7 linked regions of the Canis lupus familiaris genome follow. The protein of the gene in region 3 purifies or fractionates together with the protein of the main gene of each other region. This does not show direct contact. Links are inferred from orthologs where the notes say so. Each region holds a gene or a part of one and is shown on either strand. Other genes may lie near its edges. The genes, in order: CACYBP, EEF2, OTUD5, CDK4, SLC7A11, CNP and SERBP1.

Region 1 (3,500 bases), on a different chromosome or scaffold from region 3:
GAGAGAGGCAGAGACACAGGCAGAGGGAGAAGCAGGCTCCATGCACCGGGAGCCCGACGTGGGATTCGATCCCGGGTCTCCAGGATCGTGCCCTGGGCCAAAGGCAGGCGCCAAACCCCGCTGCGCCACCCAGGGATCCCTCATGTATCTTTTCAAAGTAGTGTTTTTGTTTTCCACAAGTAAATACCCCATAGTAAATTTACTGAATCATAATGGTATTCCTATTTTGAATTAACTGATTAAGCTCCATAACTGTTTTCTACTTTGGCTGTACCAATTTATATTCCCACAGTGTACAAGGGTTCCTTTTTCTCCATATCCACACTCACATTTGTTATTTCATGATTTTTTTTTTCTTTTAAATTCTAGACATTCTGACCAGATGTAAGGTAACATCTCATTGTAGTTTTGATTGGTATTTCCTATGATTAGTGATGTTGTACATCTTTTCATGTGTCTTGGCTAACTGTATGTCCTTTGGGAAAACATTTATTCAGGTCCTCTGCCCATATTTTAATTGGATTGTTTGAGGGGTTTTGGTGTTGAATTATATGCAAGTTCTTTATTTTATATATTAACCCCTAATCAGATTACTTGCAGATATCTTATCCCATTCAGTAGGTGGCCTTTTCATTTCATTGATAGTTCTTTTATATACAAAAGCTATTTATTTTAGTGTGGACATAACTGTTTTTGCTTTTGTTTTGTGCCTCAAGAGCCACATCTAGAAAAATGTTGCTCTGGCCAATGCCAAAGCCACTATTGTCCGTGTTCTCTTCTAGAAGCTTAGGGTTTCATGTCTCACATTTTGGTCCTTGTCTATTTTAAGTTTATTTTTGTGTGTGGTGGTAGAAAAATGAACTATTCTTAAAGAATGTGTTAAATGATCATATTCCTTATTCTAATGAATTAAAAAAGGGGGAGCTCTGTGTTTAAAAAAACCTGGATTTTAGAAGTTCTGCCACTAGCTAGATGCCTAATTTTGGGTAGATTTTGTAGCTTTGTTACAAGCTCAATTTCTCCATCTAGAAAATTTCTTATATTTTTAATATTTCCCATGTTTCTAATACTAGAATTTAGTTTCCAACAGTTTTAGGAGCCATATGCATTTGCTGTTCTAGAGATAGTTACTGACTTTATTCATGTCCCTTTTTTGTTATTACTAGGATGGGATCAGTCAGATAAATTTGTGAAAATCTACATTACTTTAACTGGAGTTCATCAGGTCCCCACCGAGAATGTGCAGGTGCATTTCACAGAGAGGTGAGTTCTCACAAATGGGAAGTATAATGATCATTAAGTCAGAGATTGCCTTATTACTCCTTTTCTTGTCAGTTTCTAAAACTGTTTAAATTTAGAATTCTCCTTTCCACCTACTTTGAAGAGGTTAATATCACCAAGGATGGACAAATGCACATCCTAAAATAAAACTTATGGCTTTTTTCCACAAGAGCTATAGAGCACCTCTCATATAACCAGAAAGATCATGTATTCACTATTGTATTGTAGGTCATTTGATCTTTTGGTAAAGAATCTAAATGGGAAGAGTTACTCCATGATTGTGAACAATCTCTTAAAACCCATCTCTGTGGAAGGCAGTTCAAAAAAGGTAAGTTTGCTTTTATTTTATTGTGAAACCTCATTAAATTGAACCAGGTTAATTTAGAATTGAGAAAAACTAGAATTTTTCTGTAATGGATCAGCAACTACAGCCTGATGGCTATGTTATTGGAACAGGCCCCCCTATTCTCTTGTTTGTGTGTTCTCTGGCGCTGATTATGTTATAATGGCATAATTAAGTAGCTGCGCCAGAAGCCTAAAATATTAACTATCTGGCCCTTTGTCAACTCTTGCCTCTAGAATAGATCATTATAAGAATATTGCATTTAAATCAGGAGGGGAAAAAAATAAATCAGGAGGGGAATAAGCTTCTAAATTGATTAAGAGTGAGCTTGAATATTAATGTCAAAAAAATAAAAAGAATTTTAATGTCAGTTTTGCCACTTACTAGTTGTGACTTTCTGGCAGCTCAATCATTCTGTGCCTCAGTTTCCTCATTTGTACAATGGGAATAATTTATTTTACAAAGCTGAAATTATATACTGAAATGAAATACATATAAAATGGTTAAATTAATGGTAGCTATTATTAGAAGCACCATACCTAAATTTTTGATACATAAAAAGACTTAATTAAGCTAAGTTAGGCTAAGGACTTAGCCTAACTAGAATTAGTAAAATCTATAAAAATAAATAGCCTTTTAAACTACTACACTTTTCACTAATTCAGATAATCTCTTTTCTATTTAAGTTAAATAAGGTTTAATGCAGCTGGCACATAAATGTGCCATTCTGCCATCTGTGTTTACATAATTATGTAGCAGCTTAAAGGCAGTATTAGAATATAATTTATTAATTAGCTTGTGTCTCCGTGCTTCCTCCTTCATCCATTAATCTCATAGTTGAATAAATACTCAAAAGAATCCTGGGAATTACATGGATTGTTGTTGAAACAGTTGAAATTATATGATTTTGCTTTGTGCCTATCTCTGATCCCTCTTACTCTATCACTCTCCTTCAATCACCAAAATCCCACCACACACACTCTTTTTTTTTTTTTATCAGACCCACCAAAATCATCCTGTTTTATAGCCTATCTTGCTGTGCCCTTCTGGATCTTGGGTCACAGCTCAGATTTCACCTCACAGAGGCCTTTCCTAATGAAGTTCTTCCCTCAAACCCCATTAACACCTTCTTTGTCTTGGTTTTTGTCTTAACATAATAGTAACTTGATTGAGTAAATGTTTTCCAAATAACCATGTTTATCGCCACATGCTGTAAGTTGTACTTGTTTTCTTCCAGGTCAAGACAGATACAGTTCTTATCTTATGTAGAAAGAAAGCAGAAAACACACGGTGGGACTACCTGACTCAGGTTGAAAAAGAATGCAAAGAGAAAGAGTGAGTTTACTTTCATTTCTTTAAGAATTTTAATGTATTCTTTGCTGGGATTGTAGATTTTTAACACTTTGCCATTGTGGATAAGAGTTGTATGTGATTTGACCATTTACCTCTTAATGTTCTCTGAGTAACCCAAGCATCTTACATCTTTCTGTCCACTTATCTAAGGAGGGCACATGTCCAGGAAGTTGCTTTTTACAGTGGACTTAGTTTTGATTGGGTCTTTTGTATTGGTTCTTAACCCTGGGCTTTTAAGAGAGGGATCATGTGTGAGCAGATTTGGGGGGGCGGGGAATGCGGCGCAGCCAAGGGAGAGAGAATCTTAAAGGGCTCCACACCCAGTACAGAGCCTGACACAGGGCTCTCCATCTCTCGACTCTGAGATGATGACCTGAGCTGAAACCAAGAGTCAGACACATAACCAAATAAGCCATCCAGGAGCCCGGCCAGTTGTGCTTCTATGTAGCTTGTGTGTCCATTCCCAGAGGTTCCATTTCATTAGTCCCAGATACCTAGATACACTTTTTGAATTCCACAAAAG
Region 2 (4,095 bases), on a different chromosome or scaffold from region 3:
CTCTCATGAATAAATAAATAAAATCTTAAACAAAAATAAAGCCCCTGAATCAACCCTCAGTGTAAATGCAATCAGTGTAAATGCAATCAGGGCTGGACAGTGCTTTACAAAGCAAAACATGCAAAGCATTTGTGGAAGGAGGGATGCACAGGCTGAGCTCAGATTCCATCTAGCATTGCCTTTTGGGGATACACATCTTCCCTCTTCCCAGCTGGGGAAAAGCCATGCTGTCCCTCTCATTTTGACAGCATGAGTGTAGGGGAAGATGTACCTTATGGGGTTTGTGCTAGTAAGAATACTGTTCACTGATGATGCAAGAAATATTTCCTAAGCATGTATTTCGTACCAAGCATTGAGGTTGGCTCTTTATAAAGAATAGAGATATGGAATGGCATGCCGATTTGTTCTCTCGAGCCAAAGACCTGAATACAATAGTTTGTTAGGGTCACATTAGGACACAAATGCAAAATAGACTTGTGAACCTCCGGCTGGAGAGGAAATGAAATAGAAAATGAGATGGCACCTGGAAAGCGCTGAGCCCTGTGCCTGAGACATAGCAAACCATGTCCCTGAAATAAATGTTGTATTAATAGCAATGATAGCTAATTAAGAGAGCTGACGTGCTTTGGGTGCTGTGTCAGGCACCAGAGCTAATCCCTTTGCATGTGTTTACTCTTTCCTTCCCCCAGTGAAGTAGTACCGATTACCCCATTTTACAGATGAAGAAACTGAGGCTCAGAAAAACCCAAATACCTAGTGTAAGAGCAGGTAAAGTGGTGGGGCTGGTAAGGTGTTTTGTTTATTGCTATAGCGACTACACCTATCACAGTTCTTGGTGAAGTAGATAGCCAATCTATCTTTGTGGGATAAGCGTGTGATTAACATCTGCTTTCAAAAAAGGTTTTCATATTTGAAATAATTATAGGCAGGTAGTTGCAAAAATAGTACAGAGAGGTGTCGAGTATCCTTGCTCCACTGTCCCTCAGTGGATTCATTACATAACAGCAAAACCAGAAAACTGGCTGCGGTACAATCCACAGACCCTTTTCCCATTGTCAAGTGCTCTTAACAGAAGTGCATGGCATTTTGGAAGCTGATAGAGCTGCTACGATTAATATTCTCAGCTAAAACGGCGCCTTTCGCTTTCTGCACCTGAGCATCGCATTCTGGAGGCGTGCCCCCAGGTCCCGGGAGACCACCGCCCCCGGGAGCTCCCGCAGCCACGCCAGCGCCTGAAGGGTTAACCGGAGGAGTGCGTCCTTGCGCCTGCGCAGGGCGTTGCTTCTCGCCCCGCCCCCGCAGCGCGGTCAGATGACCCGCCCAACCGGCTTCTGCCTATAAAAGGTCGGGTGTTGACGTCAACGTTCTCTTCCGCCGTCGTCGCCGCCATCCTCGGCGCGACTCGCCTCGCTCGGATCTACCTGGGAGAATCCACCGCCATCCGCCACCATGGTGAGCGACGCCGGCGGGCCGGGCGGCCTGGGAGGGCGGCGGGGCCTCCGCGGGGCCGGCGCTCTCGGCCTTGGAGCGCTGGGGCCGCCCGGACGTGGAGAAGACATGGCGGCGCCGGCGGGGCCGGGGCTGAGGAAGCGGCCGCCGCCATGTCTGCGCGACGCGCCGTTCGCCGAGCCCCTTCCCCGCTTCCGGGGGCGCCTCCGCCTCGCGTGGAGCCCGGGCCGGTCCGGAGCTGGGGCCGAGGCGGGGCGGGGGGGTGGTGGTGGTGGTGATGATGTGGCAGACGCTGTAATGGCGGGCGCCGTGTGGGGAGCGCGGCGAGGGGAGCCGCCTTCTGTAACCCGGGTCGTGAGCTGGGGGGTCCGCGGGGGGGGGGGAGCCCCTCCCCCCGCCCAGCGCGGGGGGCCTCCCTCGCCCGCCTGCCTGTGCCCCCGGCGCGTCCGCGTCCCGGCTCAGAACAGCTGACAGCCGGCCTGCAAATGGAGGCTGGCGTCCGCGGGGGGCAGGGCGAGCTCCCCGCCCAGCCGTCCCTCCGGGGGACGCTGGCCCCGTGTGACCCCCAGCTGGAGGGATGACCTTGGATCTCCGGTTGGGAGAGGCCGGGGAGAAGGCAGCGGGGATGGGGCTTGCGGGGAGCCTCCTCCTTCCTGCACCCTGCAGCGGCCGGGCTGCCTCTGACCAGCGTGTGCCCTGGGAAGTCACGGCCTCGGGGCCAGAGACTTCGTCCCCGCCCGAGTTGCGGTGTGTCCGTGACAGGCGGCGTTGCCCCTCCCCCCCCCCCACGGGGCAAGTGGCATTTTCAAGGGGTGTCAGCAAACAGATGGAGTTCAGGTGGTGGTTTGGGGCCAGCCCAGCTGCAGTGTGCACACCTGGCAGGGGCCTGGCAGCCCATCGATTGTGAAGTCCCAAGGCCGCCTGGGCAGGCCTGAGCCTCCCCTCCTCCCCTCCCCGCCCAGGTGAACTTCACGGTAGACCAGATCCGGGCCATCATGGACAAGAAGGCCAACATCCGAAACATGTCCGTCATCGCCCACGTGGACCACGGCAAGTCCACGTTGACGGACTCGCTGGTGTGCAAGGCCGGTATCATTGCCTCCGCCCGCGCTGGGGAGACCCGCTTCACTGACACCCGGAAGGACGAGCAGGAGCGCTGCATCACCATCAAGTCCACGTGAGCAGGCTCTGATATCCTAGGGAGGATGGGAGGGAGGTCCTCACCCAGGTCTTGGGTGGAGAAGCCAGAGGGCAGGTGCTACCGTGTTCCTGGGGCTGCTGGGGAGATGATTGGAGCAGCTGGGGGTTGGGATTCTGAACTGTGAGGCAGACAGGCGCAGTGGAGTGATGGAAAAGTGCAGCCAGTTGGAGAGGCGCAGTGATGCTTGGGGTGGGGCGGCAGGGGAGCCTTGAAAAGAGGGTTAACCCGGCAGCTTCATTTCAGGGCTCTGGGCAGTGCCTGGAGAAGTGTGGGGGTAGTGCCACTGGCATAAGGACGCTGCCAAAAATCTTATGCTGTGCAGCGACAGTTTTTTGGCTCCCCGTTTTGAGCAAGGGCATTCAAAGTAGTGCCTGTAGCTGCCAATTATCTATTGTTTGTGAGGTTCTACTAGGTCATTTGAGATTTATTTTAGGTGACAACGGAGGGAAAGAGATAGTTTAGGGTTTTTAGATATAGTTTGGGCACAGGGTCAATATTTGGAAGCAAGTGTGTTGAGCCTGGGAATAACCTGAATGAAGGGGCTGCACAGGTGGACTCCCAGAGGCTGCTATTGGTAGCTGGTACTAGGAGGGAGGTGGACCTCCCTGGCTGAGGGCAAAGCTGCTTGGGTGGAATGGTTTCTTTGTGGGAAATCTGAAATCTGTCTGCAGGAAGAAGTAATTAGCAAGGAGAGGAAACAGGTTGTGGTGTTTTTGTAGTGTGGGACTTGGTTTTTTAACCGTTTACAATCTCCTTGATACTTAAGAAAGCCATATTAACCCTGGACAGGAACCTGGGCTTGACTCCAGGGGTCACTGGGAGGGCAATGAAACGTGGCTTCCATCGATCCAACTTGCACCAATCTCCTCAGGGCTATCTCACTCTTCTATGAGCTCTCCGAAAACGACTTGAACTTTATCAAGCAGAGTAAGGATGGCTCTGGCTTTCTAATCAACCTCATCGACTCCCCGGGGCACGTGGACTTCTCCTCAGAGGTGACTGCCGCCCTCCGTGTCACCGACGGTGCCTTGGTGGTAGTGGACTGTGTGTCTGGTAAGCGATAAGTACCCCCCTCGGTGTGGCTGGGACCCGGGGGCTATTACCTCCTCCTCTGGCTGATGGAGATGCCCATCCCCAGGTGTGTGCGTGCAGACAGAGACGGTGCTGCGGCAGGCCATTGCAGAGCGCATCAAGCCAGTGCTGATGATGAACAAGATGGACCGGGCTCTTCTGGAGCTGCAGCTGGAGCCTGAGGAGCTCTACCAGACCTTCCAGCGCATTGTGGAGAACGTCAACGTCATCATTTCTACGTATGGGGAGGGCGAGAGCGGTCCCATGGGCAACATCATGGTAAGTAGCTTAACTGCCTATTGAAAGTGAGGGTTCCTCCACCAGCTTGCTGATGTCACACGTCTCCCAAGGTGGGGAACCACAGTCCTTAACTC
Region 3 (4,188 bases):
GACAAAGGCTGAGTGGGGGTGCCACTCACTGTCAAAAGGAACATCAGAGCTGTTAGCAGACAGTGTCAGGCGCATAGAAAGTATTTAGTGAAGATTAGCTAGTGATTATCCTAAGTTCAATTTTAGACATGTAGTGCTGGACAAGTATCCAGTAGGAAATCTAGGTCAAGTGGGATGATCATGAGACGATTCAATGTGATAACACGCATAGGCATTTGGCACAGTGCCCTGAACACAATAGGCCCATTAAATGTGAATCTTCTCCCATTAAGTCTTCAGAGCAGTGAACACAACATTCCATTTGTAACTGACACCCTTCAAGGAAGAACTTCAATCAAGGTCAGCATCTGCAGGAAGAAGGTTAGATGGCACTCAGAAGAGCTTTCTGATCGTCTTTCAGTCAACATGTTATATGGCTTGACTCCTAAGACTGGCAGCAAGCCTTCACCTCTCGAAACAACTTCCTGATTCATAAGCCCATCTGAACCTGTAACTACTCCTTGAGGTAGTTTGGGCAGGCATTATCATTACCCGTTTTGCTTGGGTAACCTCAAATTTGAGACACAGTGACTAGCTCAAGGTCATAGAGTTGGTAACAATCCATCAGGGTCAGGAACTGAGGTCTTCTTGACCGTCAAGCCTGGGATCCTTTTTTTTGCATGCCATTCAGACTAGTTTATTGAACACTTACTTACTATGTGCTAGACACAGCACTAGGCCCTTTACAAGCATTCATCTCTGATCCTTAAGTCATAATTACCACTTCCATGTTACAGAAAAGTAGTAAGTGCAGATGGGGTCTCCTGACTGGCTCAGTCCAAAGAGCATGCAACTCTTGATCTCGGGTGTTGTGAGTTCCAGCTCCACTGGGTACAGAGATTACTAAAAAATAAACAAAAAATTTTTTGAAAAACTGCAGATGGGGTGGGTGTTAAATGACTTGCCAAAATCAGTCACACAGGAGAGGCAGAGCTATGATTAGCTTGTAGCTCTCCCACCGCTCAAATACCACGGATTTTACCAACCCCCTTGCCAGGGGGGCTGGTAACAGCTCTGGCTCATAAACTTTTGCTCCATCCAGGTAAACTTAGTTGCGGGGGAAGGGGGGGCAGGAGGGCAGGTCGGAAAGGCTGTGCCGCGCTTGCGCACTAGCCACAGGGGCGGGGAGGTCAACGCGAGGGCGAGAGCGCTGCGGCGCCAAAGGTGTGTCTGCTTCCCAAACACCCAAGGTCCTCGCGAGGCAGGTCTGTCCCAGGGTTGGCCGGTCCAACGTGAGTGACGGCCTATCTTAACCAGTCACCGCAGAACTCGGCCTGTTGCCAGGGTGAAGCGGCGCCCGCCTCTCCTCTGGATGTGGATTTGCAGGTGGGTGGGACCGGAACTGACGCTTCAGGGGAGTGCTAGTGCTCTGGGAGTGTTGATATTTTCCAGTCAGTCCAGCTGACTGCGGCCAAGTTGGGAGCCTGGCAGGGGAAGCGCTTTCAAGATTGTCGTGCGCGGGGCCGGCCACGCTGCCCTGTTGTAGTACCGCCGCCTGCGAATTAGAGCCTCGGAGAGAGAAGAGAGTGTGACGGAGTGAACGAGAAGAAAGGCAAAGAACCGAGGCGCCGACTTTGACTGAAATCTGAGACCGAAGGCTCGGGAGGGCGATTGCTCGCATCTGATTGGTCCGTGGGCGTCATCGAGGACCTACGCAGGCGTCTCGATTGGTTGGTGCCCTCACTTGTTGTGGCGGCGGCGTAGAATTTTGCCCACGTACTTCCGAACGAGAGGCGGGGCCGTGCTCTGGCGCGCGTGCGCAGCGCCCCGGGGCCCCACCCGGTAGTTCAAGAACCTGCGAGGGGGCGGGGCGAGGAGGTGCTTGTTTTGGTTCTGTTTCCTTTGAAGCAGCAGTCCGGAACGAGCGAGCGTAGCAATAAGCTTGTTGGACTTGGAAAGGAGGCTACGACAAACTCGCCGCGGTGCTTTCATCTAGGACTTAACATCCGGGTTCTCCTGCCGCGTGACCCGCGCGCCACCGAGGGTTCTCGAACCGGTGCTTCAATCCCTTTATCCGGGTCTCGCCGATCCCGTCGTGCTTCGCGCACCACAGTAGCCCCCTCATCCGGGTTCTCTCCCAGCGTGCCCCGCGCCGGGTTTGCTGGGGGGTACTTGGCGGTGCCGCCATGACTATTCTCCCCAAAAAGAAGCCGCCGCCTCCCGACGCCGACCCCACCAACGAACCGCCGCCGCCCGGGCCGCTGCCCCCGGCGCCGCGTCGCGGCGGGGGTGTGGGCGTGGGCGGCGGCGGCACGGGTGTGGGCGGCGGCGACCGCGACCGTGACTCGGGCGTCGTGGGGGCCCGTCCTCGGGCCTCGCCACCGCCTCAGGGCCCGCTACCGGGGCCACCGGGAGCGCTTCACCGCTGGGCGCTGGCCGTGCCGCCTGGCGCCGTGGCGGGTCCGCGGCCACAGCAGGCCTCTCCTCCTCCCTGCGGGGGCCCTGTTGGTCCCGGCGGCGGTCCCGGCGACGCGCTGGGCGCAGCAGCGGCGGGTGTGGGCGCGGCGGGCGTGGTGGTGGGCGTGGGCGGAGCGGTAGGCGTTGGCGGTTGCTGCTCTGGGCCGGGCCACAGCAAGCGTCGGCGTCAAGCCCCCGGGGTCGGAGCGGTTGCAGGGGGCAGTCCAGAGCGTGAGGAGGTCGGCGCAGGTTATAACAGTGAAGACGAGTATGAAGCGGCTGCTGCTCGCATCGAGGCAATGGACCCCGCAACCGTCGAGCAGGTAATGGGCTGGGGGTGACAGGTGAGTGGGTATGGTGAATGGAAGTGCCCAGACTGGGTGGGGACCTAAGGAAGGCTGTTTGAGATCTTCCAAGGGACCTATGCTTTCTCCCGGAGCCTGGCATTCTTCTTTGATGGTAGGGGCTCGAGACACTCTCTTCCCCGCCCCCTACCAAGGACTTGGGGATCAGAAGCCCCAGATAAGATGGCGGACTTACCGATGCAGTCTGTGGTCCCTTCTGGAACCCGGAACCCTTACTCCAGTCCCTGAAAGCTCACGTACGACCAGTAGGTGGGAATGCCTCCTGAGAGGGGAGTCTCATGGCTCTGGGGGACCTGGTGTGTGTTTGATGCCTTGAGATTTCCTTTTTTCTGGGATAAGTCTCTAAGACGACTCCTTGTGTGAACACAAGTAAGGTAGAGACCTCAGGATAATTTTGAGCATCCCCGAGATACCTAAACCCTTTTCAGGGGTCTGAGAGACCGTTTATACAGGACAGCACTCCCACTTCCTTTTCGGGGAGACAGCCTAGGACCACGCAGAAGTCCGAGTCTGAGATTTCCTTAAGGGGCCTAAGTCTGCCTTCAAGGGCTTGAGACTCCCTCTTCTAGAATCAGGAGCCTGATGTACACACACATATATATTCCCTTTAGAGAAGGGGATCTTCTGAATTTTTATTAAGGGAGATAAAATTTCTTCGAGAGAGTTAAGATTCCCTTTGGGGACAAGGGCCAAAACTAACACTCGGACCAGAAACTACTAAGGTGCATGAGATTCATCCCTTTTCTAAGCGATAAGGGTATATGCTTCCTTTCAGTGGTCCCAGACCTCCTTGGGGCCAAGAGTCTGAATTTCTAAGAGCTGAAGCTTCTTTTAACTGATAGGCCTTCAGCTCTTCTGTCCCCCAACCTCCCCAGTCTGAACCTTTCTTCAAGAAAATAAGCCTCATTGTTTTGGGTACTTGAAGCTAAGATTCCCCATGCTTATGGATTGGGGCTTACAGAGATGGGGTTTGAAGCCTCTTCAGGAAATGGATACCCCCCACACAGAGGTCCCAGGCAAGGTGAGGTCTTTAGAGGTCCTTTTTAAATCAGGGATTGGTATCTGAGTGTTCTCCTTGGGTGGTCTGAGACACTCCCTCCACACACACAAACACAGGGATATGAGATCCTTCTACCCTGATTATGAGGGAATGAAACACAGCTTGGGTATGTAACAGCCCTTTCTCCCCCTGTAACAGGGATCTTAGCATCCCCTGCTCCAAAGGCCTGAGCTTCTTGTCAGGGATAGAAGATCTCTGCTTCAGGAACTGTAGCCAGATAAACTCTTCAGAGAACATGGTAGCATGGAGTCCCAGAGATGGAGCCTGAGGCCTACCCATAGATCTAAGTCTGCCTTCAGGGCCTGAGACCCATTGCACCAGGGACAC
Region 4 (3,979 bases), on a different chromosome or scaffold from region 3:
ATTAAGGCAGCAAAATATTCTCTGTAAAAAGTGGGAGTTGTTTCCACAGCCTCAGAGATGAAGGTCAAGACTGCCTTCTTAGTTTGGGGAGCTCTCCACTCAAGTGTTCAAAGGAAGAGAAAAGACAGCTTCTCTCCTCTTGCTACCGTTGCAGCCATTCCACTGCTCACTCTGGGTTACCTTCTGCCTTTTGTAGATAAGAGTGCTGCAGGGCTCGGAAGGCAGAGATTCGCTTGTGTGGGTTAAAAGTCAGCATCTCCTGAGAAGGGGAGGCAAAGATCAAAAGGTCATGAAGACAAAACAAAAAAAAAAAGAAAAAGACTTCCGCTCACCCCCAACAATACCTAGGATGGGCTATTTTCTACATCCCTCTTTATGGATGGCCTATTCACTGGCGCCAGTAAAAACTAGCCCATCCACCAACCAAGTCTTAGTAACCGCAATGCTAGTGCTCGGTCTTCCACCCCATCCTCAGCCTGTGCCCGTGCCCACGCCCAGTACCAGCAGCAGCTGTGCTCCAGACTCCTCCATCTCAGGTACCACTGTCTGTACTGGACGGGGCCCTCTAGGGGAAAAGGCTCCTCGGGGCAGAGACACATCTCGGGGCCAGTCATCCTCTGGGGGCAGCCCGATCAGACTATGGGGAACAGGAGAGCTCTGGTCAAGAGGGTCTTTCTCTAGCCCACATCTCCAGGGGCAGAGCCAACTGCCATGTGGGGCTCAGCAGAAAAAAGATTTGGAATGGAAAGTTTTTTTTTTCTCCCCTCATGCTGGTCACTTACTCAAAGATTTTGCCTAACTGGTCAGCTTCAGAGTTTCCACAGAAGAGAGGCCTAAGGTGGAAAAAACACAGAAGTCATGTCCAAAGATACAGTAGTGGAATAATTACTGGTAGGTAATGGCTCAAAACAGAGAGTGTGGGGGAATACAGGGATGTGAAGTTCCTAACTTTGGGACATTTCAGAGTTTCTGGTTAGGGACAGAACAGTCAACAATACTTAAGTGAAAGATTGGGCAGGAAATGGATGTGATCTATGACTAAGAGATTTGGTTTGGGAAACTCAAAATAGTTCAGGATGCTTGGGTCCCATACTTGCGACGAAACATCTCTGCGAAGATACAGCCGACACTCCACATGTCCACGGGTGTTGCATACGTAGACTGCAGAAGAACTTCTGGAGCACGATACCAGAGTGTAACAACCTAATAGGAACAAGAAAAGTGGATGAAGACCCCATGGGTTACCATGAACCATAACTGGTTGACTAAAGTCACAAAGTGCCCGACTTCTCAACTGCTACGGTCAACCCCTCTCCTACTCCCCTCTTGCTACTGACCACAGGCGTAAGTGCCATCTGGTAGCTGTAGATTCTGGCCAGGCCAAAGTCAGCCAGCTTGACTGTCCCACCACTGGTCACCAGAATGTTCTCGGGCTTCAGGTCTCGGTGAACGATGCAGTTGGCATGAAGGAAATCTAGGCCTCTTAGAAACTGGCGCATCAGATCCTGGTTTAGAAGGGGGAAGAACAGAGGACCTGGAACTAGGCACCATACCTGAAATCACAGCAGGTTCTGCCACAAAGGTCTCAATCTACTCCTCAGTGTCCACCCACCCTACTCACCTTGATGGTCTCCACTGGCAAGCCCGGTGGGGGTGCCTTGTCCAGGTACGTTCTCAGGTCTTGGTCCACGTGCTCAAACACCAGGGTCACTTTGGTCTCCCGGTCGGTTCGGGCAGTGGCGCAGACGTCCATTAGCCTGGCCAGAACAAGTGGTCACTCACTGATCAATCCCTCTGGACCCGATGCGGCCTTCCCCATTTCCCCAGAATCCCCACCTACAAGTTGTCTTTTCCCCTTTACTACCCACTCCCCACCCCCCACCTTCTCACCGGACAACGTTGGGATGCTCAAAAGCCTCCAGCCGCCTCAGCAATGCCACTTCACGAACTGTGCTGATGGGAAGGCCCCCTCCGGCACCTCCTCCATTAGGGACTCTAACGCTCTTGAGGGCCACGAAGTGGCCGCTGTGCGGATCACGGGCCTTGTACACCGTTCCATAGGCACCAACCCCAATCTCAGCCACTGGCTCGTACCGAGGAGTAGCCATTCTCGGATCAGAGAAGACCCTACAATCACAAAAGCCTCCTGCCACCGAAAATCCCTCAAGAGTTCAGGTGGTATGAGCCTGCCGCAACGAGGTGACTCCCCCACAAGGCATCACAAAGACCCCCCCTCCACCACCCCGTCCCTCTCCCCAGTTCCGTGAGGCTGGCTCCTCAGCTGACACAATGGCTCTAACCCCAACCCCGCCAGGGGGGGTTATTTAACCCACGCCTTAAATATAAACGTGAATCCCTCAAAGAAAGAATTCCTCTTCCTCGGGGACGGGCCGTCGCGCCCCGCACGGGGCAGACCGCACACGACACACCCCCTGCATCGAAGACTCGACATCCGTCCCTACCATTACATCCCAGCTGACCACAAAGGAACTTTGCGCGGGCCGCACTTCCCGCCCTCGAGCGACCCTCCCGTAACCTGCCCGCGTAGGCAGACGCGAGGGCGACAGCGGTCCCGTCCCCGGGAAGGCGCCACGCTCACCTCACTCGGCGCCGGGTGCTGCGGGGGCGGCCCGTTATCGGGGCCCCGGAGCCAGAGCCTGCGGCGCCATACACAGGAGCTCTGTCCGGGGCAGCTGGACGCTCCGGGCCCGACCATAGACAGGCCGCAAGCTAGAGCGGCCCCCGCACCCCCACCCTCACCATGTGACCAGCTGCCAAAGAGGCGCGCGGAAACTGGCGGGGCGGGGCGAAAGCCGGACGTTCGGGCCACGTGACGAGCCGCGCGTGCGCAGAGGGGCGGCCAGAGCGGCCTCGGCCGGGAAGCGGGCGGGGAGGGGAGAGGGCAGGCGGGGCGACGGCGGCCACGTGATCTGTTGCTATCACACGTGACCGCCCGACTCCGCTCGGAGGAGCAGAGGTGTGGCTACGCGGCGGGGCACGTGACCGACTGCCAGACCCGGCGGGGGTGCGGGGAGACGGGGGAGGGTGGAGTCCAGGGCGGTGCCATGGCAACCCGGGCCACCCGGCTCCAGGGCCGAGCTGCAGGCCGCGCCTGAGCGCTTCTGGCGCTCGCTCCTCGCTCCGCGCCTCCCTCTGTGCGCGGCGGTCAGGGAGCTGGAGACGAGGCGGGGGCGGGACGGGCGCTGGAGCCTTTCGGCCTCACTGCCGCGGGGAGACCTGGTCTCGTTTGTGTCTTTGTTTCATTCATTGGCTCATTCAACAAATTTTTACCGAGTGCTCGCTTCCTGTGTGCATGCGGGTTTTTTTTTTCCGGTGTCTCAGTCGCTGGCCCTTTAAAGGAGTGATGGGGCTGTCTGGAAAGACGTAGCCCCCGGTGGGGACAATACCCATCTCAGGGCACAGCCAGCACTAACGGACTGACGGAAGGCACACTAATGCAGTGACCCAACCGGAGGAGTGTCAAGGTGATGCCCTCCCATCTTTCCAACTTCCACCTCTTCCAGGGAGCGTTAAAATAAGACGGTGCTTTCTGGCGGAGAAATTACCAATGAGCAAGAGACAGAAACACTTAACCTGCAAGGTTCTTTGCAACAGGGAGAGGCAATGATATGCGCGTTTGTGTATGTGTGGGTATTTTACACATTGTGTACAGATGGACAGATACAGGAGTGAGCGTGTGCAGGGAGGTTACCTCCACCACCACCTTGGACCTCAGCACTGCGTGAGAATGATTTGTGCTCTTCCACAAACCCTGTGACTCCTTGTTTGGGGTCGTTCTGCTTCCCTCTTTCCCCCGGTGCGAGCTTTCTTAGTCCTTGCTCCCGCCCAGAACTTGGACTTTCCCAAATTGCTTCTGCTCACAGACACTTAGGTCGACAATAGACAGGTTCCTCTGACTTTCCTTATTTCCTAGCCCTTTAGGGGAATGAGAGTAAGGAGGGAAGAGATCAGTATCTCG
Region 5 (3,500 bases), on a different chromosome or scaffold from region 3:
GTGTCTCTGCCTCTGTGTGTGTGTGTGTGTGTGTGTGTGTGTATGTGTGTGTGTCTCATGGATAAATAAATAAAATCTTTAAAAAGAAAAGACAGTTGGCTGGATATAAAGCAAGGGTTCTCAACCAGAGGAAATAAATAAATAAATAAATAAATAAATAAATAAATAAATAAATATTTAATAGCATTGAGATAAAGAAAAAGAGCCATCCAGACCTTACCAAAATAGCACTATGTCATGATTATCCATCTCATTTGAAATCCAAAGAGGCAGTATTTGTGAACTTGTAAACGTTTACATAAAATCTACTGAAAGTTTGCTAATTCTTTTAATTAAATTGAGGAATACACATGCCTACACTAGAGATAACTTTTAAAACTCCTATTGTAAATCTACAAATCTCTCAAAAACATTACCTCCATCTCCTTTTTGAATATAATAATCATGCTACTATTCTGCCTCAGTCATTTTAGGGACAAAAATATCATGGTTATAATAATGCCTGTTAGTCCAATCCCTTAGTGGGATACCAGATTTATCAAGAACTTTCTACAGGCAAGGCACTTTGCTTAAGGCTTTAAAAACCTGATGTAATTTCATCTTTCTGCAGCCATCCAAGACAGATTATATTTTCGCAGATATTTTACCAATAAATAAAAGTAATGCTTAAGAAGGTTTAATATTTAGCTCCAAATCACATAACTAAGAAATTATCACAATAAGTTTCAATTCCAGGCTGTTTGCCTTCAGAGCCAGAGCTGTAACTACTATGCTAATATAGTTCATCCCACAAAAGCTCATGGTATTAGATCTGAAGATCACATTGAACAAACTCTATTTCATTTACCGCCATTGTCCTACTGAGAAAACTGGAGATGTGTAATCCTCCAGGTTTAACAAGTATATTTTTCTACTAGAGAAAAATTCTTAGAAGTCTTCTCACAAAATCAGTGAGTCAACAAATATTTATTGAGCACGAACACCACACAAAAACCATGTGAAGGTCTAGACATATAGCAGCGAAAGAGCCCCTGGTCTCATGGAACTTCAAATGATGTTTTCCCACAAGAGCACAAACAGCTACTATTTGTAATTTGTTCTTAATAAATTGCAGGCATCACCCAAAATACTATATGTTTGTTGTCTCAGCTAATATCATTTACTCTTCACAAAACACCCTATGAGACTCTGCAGGATTTACAGGTAAGAACACTGAAGTGTGGAAAGCTTTGATGATTTGTCCCTAAGTCTCATATCTGTAGTGTCCGTTAGGGACCATGATGAGTTAAGTTTGCCATCACCCCTTCAGAACTCAGAAATCTTTCTTTAAAGATTTCACAGGATAATGGTGTGTACATGTTTGGTAGATAAGATAGAAAATCCAGAATGAACCTATGTTCAAAATATATGTATCTACACTAGAGATATTTTTATGTCGAATTCCTAGTTATTTCCTGCAAACAAGCCACTCACTTCCCTACCAGTAAATGTGCATTGTTCAGTGTTCTATTGAAATACCATAACGATACATAAATGAAAAATTTTTCATTAGGTATGAAATTCAGTTATTCCTGTGTCATTTTCCATTTCCAAATAGAACTTAATCAAACATGATTATATTGATTCTTAAAATTGGCTCAATTAGCATCTAGAATTAAGTTATTGTTTTCCATAATATTCAAAGGTTTGGCTTCATACCACTTATGTAATGTTGTGTATATTCCTCTTTTACATGTCTTTTAAAAAAATGTCTAGTATTTGAGCACATTGATAAAAATGAACAAATTCCTAATATGGAGACCTATTTTGAGAAGTGCTACCAATAATCAAATATTAAAAGCAGATTTTTATCATGACCATCAATGGACAGCAAAAACTGTAACACTGGGAGTGACAGTTTGCTAACATTATAAAATGTCTGAGTACAACATACACACCTAACACATGAGGAGCACTCTATAAGGATAAGTGAGTTATCATTCAACATATTATCAAGGAGGAAGGATAATTTCTAATTCAAAACTCCATAAAATAATTGGGATTTTGTCTGTAAAATTCTCTCTTCATGTATTATTTTACTAATAAAGTGGTTTTTGTTTGCCTATATCAAAAGATTAGCCATCATATCTATTGACCCAGTGTAAACTGACATAAAATGTAATACCAGAGATCATTCTGAATCCTCATTCTTTTCTTTATTTTCTGAAACAAATTGGGCAAGGAACTGAACACCAAAAGAGCATGATGTGAACAGCAATCCCATCATGCAAAAAATCTACAGAAATTTTGTCATCAATTATTTTGCTTTTTTTTCTTTTTCATATTTGTACCAGTGATACTCACTTATGCCCACAGCTGTAATAAGCTTGATTGCAAGTTCAGGAATTTCACATTGAATAAAAAATGGTTCCAGAATATAGCGTCCAAATGCCAGAGAAATCACAGCAGTGGCTGCAGGGCTGGAAAAAAAATTAGGTTAACAAAGGAAAATATAAGTAGCATCTTTACTGAACTTTCTCTAACTTGAGGTAATGTTATTCAACATAAAGAACATGCTAAGTATAAAAGTCTAGGGATGTCTGAGTAGCTCAGTGGTTGAGCATCTGCCTTGGCTCAAGGCGTGATCTTGGGGTTCTGGGATCAAATCCCACATCGGGCTCCCTGTATGGAGTCTGCTTCTCCCTCTGCCTGTGTCTCTGGCTCTCTGTGTCTTTCATGAATAAATAAAATATTTTATTAATAAATAAATAAATAAATAAATAAATAAAAGTCTATAATTTTCCAAACTCCATATTTGAGTAGGTTGTCATAGACATTCCAAGGAAAATATTGCCTATAACTTCAGTGGCTATTTTTAACTTCCCATGTCCATGGAAGTAAGTCTTTGTGCTATCAATTTTGTCACTGCTCTTCTGGATTTGACTTTTTTTTTTCCTTAAAAATCTAGTTTATTGAGATCTTGACAAAGCTGGGCTTTACAAGAAGCAGTCCTCCCAATAAGTCAACAACTAAACTCCAGCTGCAGCATGAATGGGTCAAGGGAGCAGATCGAATGAGTGGGGGCACAGTCAGGAAAATGAACACAAAATTCAACTTCAAAAATTATTATTAATAAGTGTTCATTGCAAATATACACTTTTGTCCTTACATTGTATTCTTCTTATTTTTCTGGTACAACAAAAACTTGACAAGCCAAGTAATTATTCTTAATTTTATAAAAACATTTAAATGCAGAGTATAAGTTGAAAAATAAAAACACTGTTGTGATTTTATACAATTGAGAAAACATGCATGAGATTAGAAAATTAAATAAGTTCAGGTCTATAGTAAAATAGGTAACTAAGCATTCTACTCTAATTCTTCTAATATTTCTATGAGAAAATGACATGTGACTCTATATTTCTATACAAATGCGTAGTCTTTCCATACACAGGCAAGTTCATAGAATTATATAATTTCTCCTGCCAATCTTTGCTCTCAGCTTCTCTTCTCATAGTTAC
Region 6 (2,558 bases), on a different chromosome or scaffold from region 3:
ACCCCCCCAACCCCAACCCCATTCTTTCCAGTCTTCCTCCACCAGCACCAAGGCCACGGCGATAGGATGACTGAGTTAGGCCTGAGAAGCTCCCCCATTGGCCTGTACGACACTCCTGAGGATGGCCTTCCCTAGAGAACTGGTGGAAACTCAGACCAGCACCGTGGGTCTAGCTGAGCAGTCCCTCTGATTGTTTGGGGCTGGCACACCTGTGGGTCTCTTGCCTCAGTTAATGGGGGACGACAGGCTCTGCTCCACGTCCCTCAGACCCAGACACCCCCCACTTTGTGTGCATCTAAGATCAGCCGCTCTCCTTTCTGCCGCCTCATGAAAGCCAACACTGTTCAGCTGCCCAAGCTCACCACAGCTGTGCCCAGCCAGCAGAGGGGAGACAGGACCGATGGCCCCAAGTTGCGGGACAAAGCCAGTCCTGATACACCAGCCCTGGCCCCAGGGAAGACTGAGCTGGGCACAGAAGGGTGAGAGAGACTGCACACGGCCAGGATTAACACGGTTTATTTCACGGTCAGTCTTACAAGTCACTGAGGTTGGGCAAAGCCAGGATAGTAACTTAAATCTCAAGCACTTTCGTCCAGTGACAACCCGATTAGCAAGGCCCTGTTACTGAGCAGGGGGCAGTGGAAGGCACCCCAGAAACCACAGCACATGTACCAATGTTAAAAACCCCTTCCCAGAGGCACTAGCTGGGGCGTGGTCCTCACCAGCCAGAGGGCCACTCTGTTGGCGCTTGGTCCCCACCCACTGGCCCCCTGTGGAGGAGGCAAGCTGGACCCGGCAGACGGCAAGATGGGAGCTTCCCCACCAAGGTACTTGCTCTGGCCTCCATCTTCCCATCCCGATGACACAGCCACACCACTGCACAGGATGGCCAGCCTGTCCCCTGCCTGGGGCGAGACCAATAGCCAACTGGGATGTGGCTGTTGCTTATTCTTCTCTTTTCTTCCCTACTTGTCAAACTATTCCCTAGTTATAGTGTGGAGGAGGAGGGGACAGGCACTTAGGACTGAAGGTGGGATGAACCCCCCCACCTCTCTTTTCTACCCTGGTAAGAAGCCCCAGCCTACCATGGGGCTGTAATGATTAAGATCCAGGGTCAAAGCCCAGGGATCCCTCCCACCCTCTCCAGTTCCCATGGACGCAGTGACCACCCTGTGGGGACATGCAGCTCTGGGGCATCTCTCTGCGCTAGCCAGCTTGGGGCAGGGGCACCTGGGACAGGCAGCAGGGCTTGAGGTTGTGGCTGCGGCTCCAGGCCCAGGCTAGCTCAGCCTTGTCAGCTTCGCTCTGGGTTCCTGAATGGCGCTCCCCCACACCCCTCTAATGTTGAAAGCTTGGGTGTTAAGAGGGGACAAGGGTGGGCAGGAGAAGCTACAAGTTTTTAAAAAGTTACGGAACGGTTAACTTTGAGTAAAAAAAAAAAAAAAAAATTTCCTAAAGATCAAGCAGAAGGCATGCTTCCCTCTCCCCCCACTTCTCTTCTAGACCGGGGGGCTGACAGCGGTGAGAACACTCAGATGATGGTGCAGGACTGCAAGGCGCCTCCCTTGCGGCTGCCGTGCGTGGGCACAGGTTTGCCCTTCCCGTAGTACCCCGTGAAGATGGCCCTGACCTCTAGCTTCTTGGCCAGGCTCAGCAGCCAGCGCCCATTGCCCAAGGAGTAGAGTTTGCCCCGGTTTAGCTCACCCACCTCCTCACCTCGGCTGCCCCCCTTCTCCTGCCGCACAATCTCCAGGAGGTCAATGCCCGTCTGCACGGGCTCCACGTCACCCGCACAGCCGAGGGTGATGTGAGCCCGGCTTCCCCGGGGCAGGCTGTCGGAAGGGGACAGCTTGTCCACGTCATTTGGCCACAATGGCAGCTCCTGCTCGCTCAGCTCCACCCGGGCTCCAGCAGTCTTGGGCGTCACAAAGAGGGCAGTGATGGTCAGTGTGAAGGCCTTGCAGTAAGACTTCTTCACCACCTGCAGGGACAGAATGACAGCCCTAAGCTAGAGGTGGTAGCCCCTGGAGCAGACAGTTGACCAAGAGTGGGCTTAGCAGAGGTGGACACCACTGAGTAGAATACTCGGGTAAAAGCTGCGCACAGCCTGTGTTGTGAGAGGACATCTTTCTGCTGCCCCCATCAGGCTGATGTGAGAAAGTGGAGGTGCCAATGGTGCTGGACACCGGGAGCTGAAAGCCAGGCTTCCTGAACTCATCCTGGCTCCCCACCTACTAGCTGCAGGGCTTCGAGCAAGCCACTTAACCTCTCTGCATTGGCTCATTACACAGGGGTGATACTAGAACCTACCCCAGTGTCTGGATGAAATGAGTGTCTGGGTGAAGATTCTAGAACAGTGACAGGCATGTGACAAGTGCTACTGTCATTACTACTCAGCTCAGCCTGGTAAAAGCCACCATAGAGCCCAGGCAATATCCCAGACGACAAGCTGAGGTCAGAAATAAGTGCCTCTGATCAAAATCCACCTTGTACACCTTGGTTTACATCAGCTCACACTAATCAGATCCGATTAAATCTGATTTTCTGAGAAAGACCAT
Region 7 (4,054 bases), on a different chromosome or scaffold from region 3:
ATCCAAGCCAAACACACCCAAATGAACAATGGCTTCCTTCCTCACCCAATTTCACTATTATGCTTACAGAACCTAAAAAATTTACTAAATAATTTCACCCTATGACTGACATTTAAAAATTCAAGCTTCTCTTAACCTACTTGTATGTACTTGCAAACTCACTGGATTTTCAGTCGATTCCAGGCTTCGGAAAAAAAAAAAAAAAAATTTAAAAACGCCTTGGTCTACATTTTTAGCGATGACATTCTGTGGTGTCAGTTCTCAAATTCTTCAAATGGACAAAAGACAAGTGACAAAACTCCTATCATGTTAGATACTGTATCTAAGGTATGTCTAGCATTTGCCAGGACCTATATTCAAAGGCAAAGATCACATAATCAGGTAGCAATTTTTCCCACTGCACGAAGTGGACTTTTTACAAGTCTATCCTTCTCCAATGCCCCTGAACATCAACTGACAGGTAGTAGGGTCTGAAAAAAAATCTTTTTCATTCAACATTTCCCTTTTATTTTTAAGACTATGTTTTATGCAATTTAAGAGCAAGACTGCTATGTATTGCTGATCTAAGGAAGACGTTGATAGCTAATATGGAAGTTTTCCCAAGGAAAGAGTACTAAATGGTGAACTCCATTCTGGTTATAAACTCATATAATAATTCTCCACCTCTGTAATTTAAAATACTAGGTCCCAGGTTAAGCGCTTACCTCCTCCAAGATGGGCTTTATGATCAAAACAACTGAGGGGTTTAAACCAGGTTTCATGCTTTAAACATTCAAAATGGGTGAAACACATCTACCTGGTACACTTAAGATTTAAACATTAGGCTCAACGTTTTCAGGCACTTTTTTGGATTAATGAGATCAAGGAGGTAAACTTGAGCAAAAATAATAATTAACACAGGCCTGTGTCCCTTAACGCAGAAATTAAATAATTATTTAGCTGTGCTACAGGTTGCTTTAAAACTTAAGATGACTGAATAGATATTTGGTCTAAACGAAGTATACCCAGCTTTCCAACACTCCAAATTCTGCTTCTCCCCAACCTGTAATTTTGATACAAGAATTATTTTGTTTTATTCATCATAGGTTCTTCATTCCAAGCATCACAGGAGTTCTGTATTAAAAAAAAAAAAAAAAAAAAAAACCTTGAGCCAAAACCTAACACAATTGGTGATTCTGAAAATTAGTTGTATGCTACAAAATTCAAAACTAATGAGAAACAACTTCTTTCAGGAGCACGTGGCAGTAAAAGGTAATTTCAACTTTTAACATAAAAAGGCAACTTTTAAAGTTCCGGAGCTGATCGGGTACACGTTTTATCCTCCAACTGTTTTTGCTTTATTGTCCACACAGAAGGCAAACCAGCAATAAGAGAATGCAGAAATCAACCTCAAGACAACCCTGTGAAGTTTACAGTGACCTCTGGAAACAACTATTACCCGCCAATGAATCCCGACCATGCTTCACGCACACGTGGAGAAAAAAGCTACAGATTCAAAAGCGCTCTGCTGGGGCTAACGTTGTGACAGCCTCTGCACTCAATTCACCACGAGGCCCCGGCCGGGCCACCACACGAAATATTGAGTGAGGGGGTGGGATGGGGTGTCGGGGAGAGAGGACGAGCTCAGGATTTCCTGCAATAACCAGTCTTCGTTCAGAATTCCCGCCTCTGCTTACCACAGTGTAAGCACATTTGTCTTCTCAAAAGCTTAATTCGCTCCAGCAAGTTAGTTGTTCTTACGAGTTGAAGGGAGGAGAGGGGACTACACGGCACATGGGGCACCTGAAGCCGTAGCTCACTCCACGGAACCCAGAAGTAGGTCAGGTGCACTCGGACCCCCGGCGTCTCGCTGGGGGGTACTCCGCGCCCTCGTGGGACAAGATGGCAGGAGAGGAGCCAAGCGCACCTCAAAGCAGCACGCCGAGGGCGAGCTCCGAGTGGGAAGGGGCCGTGGACCCCACGCCTGCCCGTAACTGCAAATGCTTCAGTCAGTGGCCAGCTCGCCCAGACCTCAGACCTCGGTCGCCGCGCCTGCCCGCCAAGGAATCCGGCGGGAAGGCAACAGCCTCCCAGGACAGCAGCGCGCTCGAGCAGCAGCAGCTTATCTCCGGGGCACGCTCCTCCGCTCAGAAACTGAGGCGGGAAGGGGGTGACTCCAGGAGCCTCGCAGGTGGCTTCAACTTGGGGCTACCACGCTCCCGGCACCTTCGCGGGACCTGGCTTTTGTAGCGCGAGGAGAAACGGGAGGCAATCGGCGGCCAAGCCTCCCGCGGGCCCTCGGAACTCCGAAAGCAAGTGGTAGCCGCAAGTCCCCCTCGCTCCTTCCCTCCATCCCGGTCTCCCCCACCTTCCACCACAGCTTTACCTTCTTTCTTAAGCGCCACGGGCGGCTGCGTCTCCTCTTTCTTGTCAACCACGCCAACGCTGGGGGGCAGCGGGTTCTTGCGGTCTTTCTGGGACTCTTTACGCAGCTGTTTGCCTGCCGCGCTGGAGTTGGTCTGGGCTGCGGCCTGAGCTGCGCTCTTGGCCCCAGGGCCCCCAACGCCGCCCCCGCCGGCTTCTTTTTTCTTGTTCTCTGCTGCCTTCAACACCTCAAAGGGGTCCGATTCGTCGTCAAATAACTGGTCGAATCGGTTGGTGACCACGCAGCCGAAGCCTTCCTGTAAGTGCCCAGGCATGATGGTGGCTCGGCGGCGCGTTCCTCCACGGATTGCAGCGGGCCGCGCCGAGCCAAGAGCGCCTGCTTCAGCTCTTCCCACAAGATGGCCGGGCCGAGAGAGGGGGGCCGGCTTCTCTTCCGGCGCCAGGCACACATCCGGGAGCGGCCAGCGCCGCACGGCACTATGGGGTATGTAGGCCAGAGTCGCTTCTCCTGAGGCGGCCCCCGGCGCCAAGACTACAATTCCCAGGATGCGTGGCGTGACAATTCTTCGCGCGCGCCTAAGAGGCGGGACCTCACGGAGGGAGTGGAGCGTGCTAGCAGAGGGAGTGGAAGCGCGGTGGTGGGCGGAGTCCTGCCACCTGCTCCAGCCACCCTTAAACTCTCTGGGTCTTGAGCTACACCGAAAACAGGAAAACGTGACGGCGTTTTTCGCTCGCGAAAGTTCTCTGTCTCTGGTTTTACTCACCCCGTCTCCAGTCCAGGACTAACTTTCCTCACCTCCGGGGGTGGGTCAAGGTGACTCCAGATTTTACAAACTTCTAGTGCTAGGGTGTTGCTGAGGTACCCCGCGGGCCTCGCGGAGGCAGGTCCCGATCCGTTCCAAGTCCCTAGCTGCCCAGGTGCTGGAGTCGCCCTCTTGCACCGCCAATAATGAATCGAGACTCTTCTGTTCAATGTGAGGAGGAATACGGTTTCTCTCGCGGGGACACGAACTGGGTTAGCGCAATTAATCAGAGACGAGTTGAACTGTCTCACAGGGCGGTGTTGCGCGCCTTTCCTGAGTGTTGCGATGGGTGCATTCATCGCAGCTAACTCCTAACAGTGCGGCACTAACTAGACAGAGGGCAAGCCTCGAAAAGCACTGTTTGTAGGAACACTTTCTGAAGTCAATCCAGTTGTCCATTAGCGTCCGGGAAGCCAAGGATTAGGTGTTAGTAAAATGTGCTCAAGAAACGTTTTAAAGCATCCGAGTGTGTAAGGGTGCCGAGGGATGCGATGAGGGTAGGGAAAATATGTCAGCAAATTAATTGCCATTACTAAAAGTATTGATATTAGTTGGGAATATTAAGGTCCAGTAAGGCAATAGATGATGTCAGTGCATATTCAAACATATTTGGTAAAACTCTTACTAACTTACCCATGTTACCACAAGCTAGGGAGTGGGGTAGGACTATCCTTAGCAATTTTTATCTTATGTATAGATCCCTGGTTTCCTCAAACAGATCTTTATGACTATCAAGTGTTATTACAATAAGAATACTTACAGATAAGCCCCATTTAGAGGAATTGTGTGGCTATGAGTTTCTGAGGTTTACTTGTGCTCCTCAGAGAATTTTACCTATTAATATAAAAATAAGAATGAGTTTTGGGGGAAAAGGGGAGAAATTTCTA

What was found.
Region 1: the proteins of OTUD5 (region 3) and CACYBP purify together in Homo sapiens (affinity purification with mass spectrometry; 4 studies listed by BioGRID and IntAct, with this or other methods). This does not show direct contact. The link is inferred for Canis lupus familiaris from reciprocal best matches to the Homo sapiens genes OTUD5 and CACYBP.
Region 2: the proteins of OTUD5 (region 3) and EEF2 purify together in Homo sapiens (affinity purification with mass spectrometry, with the first as the bait; 3 studies listed by BioGRID). This does not show direct contact. The link is inferred for Canis lupus familiaris from reciprocal best matches to the Homo sapiens genes OTUD5 and EEF2.
Region 4: the proteins of OTUD5 (region 3) and CDK4 purify together in Homo sapiens (affinity purification with mass spectrometry, with the first as the bait; 4 studies listed by BioGRID). This does not show direct contact. The link is inferred for Canis lupus familiaris from reciprocal best matches to the Homo sapiens genes OTUD5 and CDK4.
Region 5: the proteins of OTUD5 (region 3) and SLC7A11 purify together in Homo sapiens (affinity purification with western blotting; 3 studies listed by BioGRID, with this or other methods). This does not show direct contact. The link is inferred for Canis lupus familiaris from reciprocal best matches to the Homo sapiens genes OTUD5 and SLC7A11.
Region 6: the proteins of OTUD5 (region 3) and CNP purify together in Homo sapiens (affinity purification with mass spectrometry; 3 studies listed by BioGRID, with this or other methods). This does not show direct contact. The link is inferred for Canis lupus familiaris from reciprocal best matches to the Homo sapiens genes OTUD5 and CNP.
Region 7: the proteins of OTUD5 (region 3) and SERBP1 purify together in Homo sapiens (affinity purification with mass spectrometry, with the first as the bait; 3 studies listed by BioGRID). This does not show direct contact. The link is inferred for Canis lupus familiaris from reciprocal best matches to the Homo sapiens genes OTUD5 and SERBP1.

The regions. Positions count from the first base shown.
Region 1 is NC_049228.1:24,270,209-24,273,708, reverse strand, and holds part of CACYBP (calcyclin-binding protein), read left to right. Parts: intron 1-1,166; coding exon 1,167-1,263; intron 1,264-1,509; coding exon 1,510-1,609; intron 1,610-2,861; coding exon 2,862-2,959; intron 2,960-3,500. UniProt on the Homo sapiens protein: May be involved in calcium-dependent ubiquitination and subsequent proteasomal degradation of target proteins. Probably serves as a molecular bridge in ubiquitin E3 complexes. Participates in the ubiquitin-mediated degradation of beta-catenin (CTNNB1).
Region 2 is NC_049241.1:55,972,687-55,976,781, forward strand, and holds the start of EEF2 (elongation factor 2), read left to right. Parts: upstream 1-1,295; 5' UTR 1,296-1,449; coding exon 1,450-1,452; intron 1,453-2,411; coding exon 2,412-2,626; intron 2,627-3,521; coding exon 3,522-3,703; intron 3,704-3,788; coding exon 3,789-4,000; intron 4,001-4,095. UniProt on the Homo sapiens protein: Catalyzes the GTP-dependent ribosomal translocation step during translation elongation.
Region 3 is NC_049260.1:42,311,294-42,315,481, reverse strand, and holds the start of OTUD5 (OTU domain-containing protein 5), read left to right. Parts: upstream 1-1,388; 5' UTR 1,389-2,165; coding exon 2,166-2,759; intron 2,760-4,188. UniProt on the Homo sapiens protein: Deubiquitinating enzyme that functions as a negative regulator of the innate immune system. Has peptidase activity towards 'Lys-48'- and 'Lys-63'-linked polyubiquitin chains. Can also cleave 'Lys-11'-linked ubiquitin chains (in vitro).
Region 4 is NC_049231.1:2,166,960-2,170,938, forward strand, and holds the start of CDK4 (cyclin-dependent kinase 4), read right to left. Parts: upstream 2,801-3,979; 5' UTR 2,600-2,800; intron 2,128-2,599; 5' UTR 2,109-2,127; coding exon 1,891-2,108; intron 1,758-1,890; coding exon 1,622-1,757; intron 1,506-1,621; coding exon 1,338-1,505; intron 1,204-1,337; coding exon 1,094-1,203; intron 834-1,093; coding exon 783-833; intron 638-782; coding exon 502-637; intron 260-501; coding exon 167-259; 3' UTR 1-166.
Region 5 is NC_049240.1:5,026,375-5,029,874, reverse strand, and holds part of SLC7A11 (cystine/glutamate transporter), read right to left. Parts: intron 2,460-3,500; coding exon 2,344-2,459; intron 1-2,343. UniProt on the Homo sapiens protein: Heterodimer with SLC3A2, that functions as an antiporter by mediating the exchange of extracellular anionic L-cystine and intracellular L-glutamate across the cellular plasma membrane.
Region 6 is NC_049230.1:20,761,855-20,764,412, forward strand, and holds the end of CNP (2',3'-cyclic-nucleotide 3'-phosphodiesterase), read right to left. Parts: intron 1,982-2,558; coding exon 1,532-1,981; 3' UTR 501-1,531; downstream 1-500. UniProt on the Homo sapiens protein: Catalyzes the formation of 2'-nucleotide products from 2',3'-cyclic substrates. May participate in RNA metabolism in the myelinating cell, CNP is the third most abundant protein in central nervous system myelin.
Region 7 is NC_049226.1:43,506,274-43,510,327, reverse strand, and holds the start of SERBP1 (plasminogen activator inhibitor 1 RNA-binding protein), read right to left. Parts: upstream 2,801-4,054; 5' UTR 2,679-2,800; coding exon 2,366-2,678; intron 808-2,365; exon of another isoform or gene 793-807; coding exon of another isoform or gene 705-792; intron 1-704. UniProt on the Homo sapiens protein: Ribosome-binding protein that promotes ribosome hibernation, a process during which ribosomes are stabilized in an inactive state and preserved from proteasomal degradation.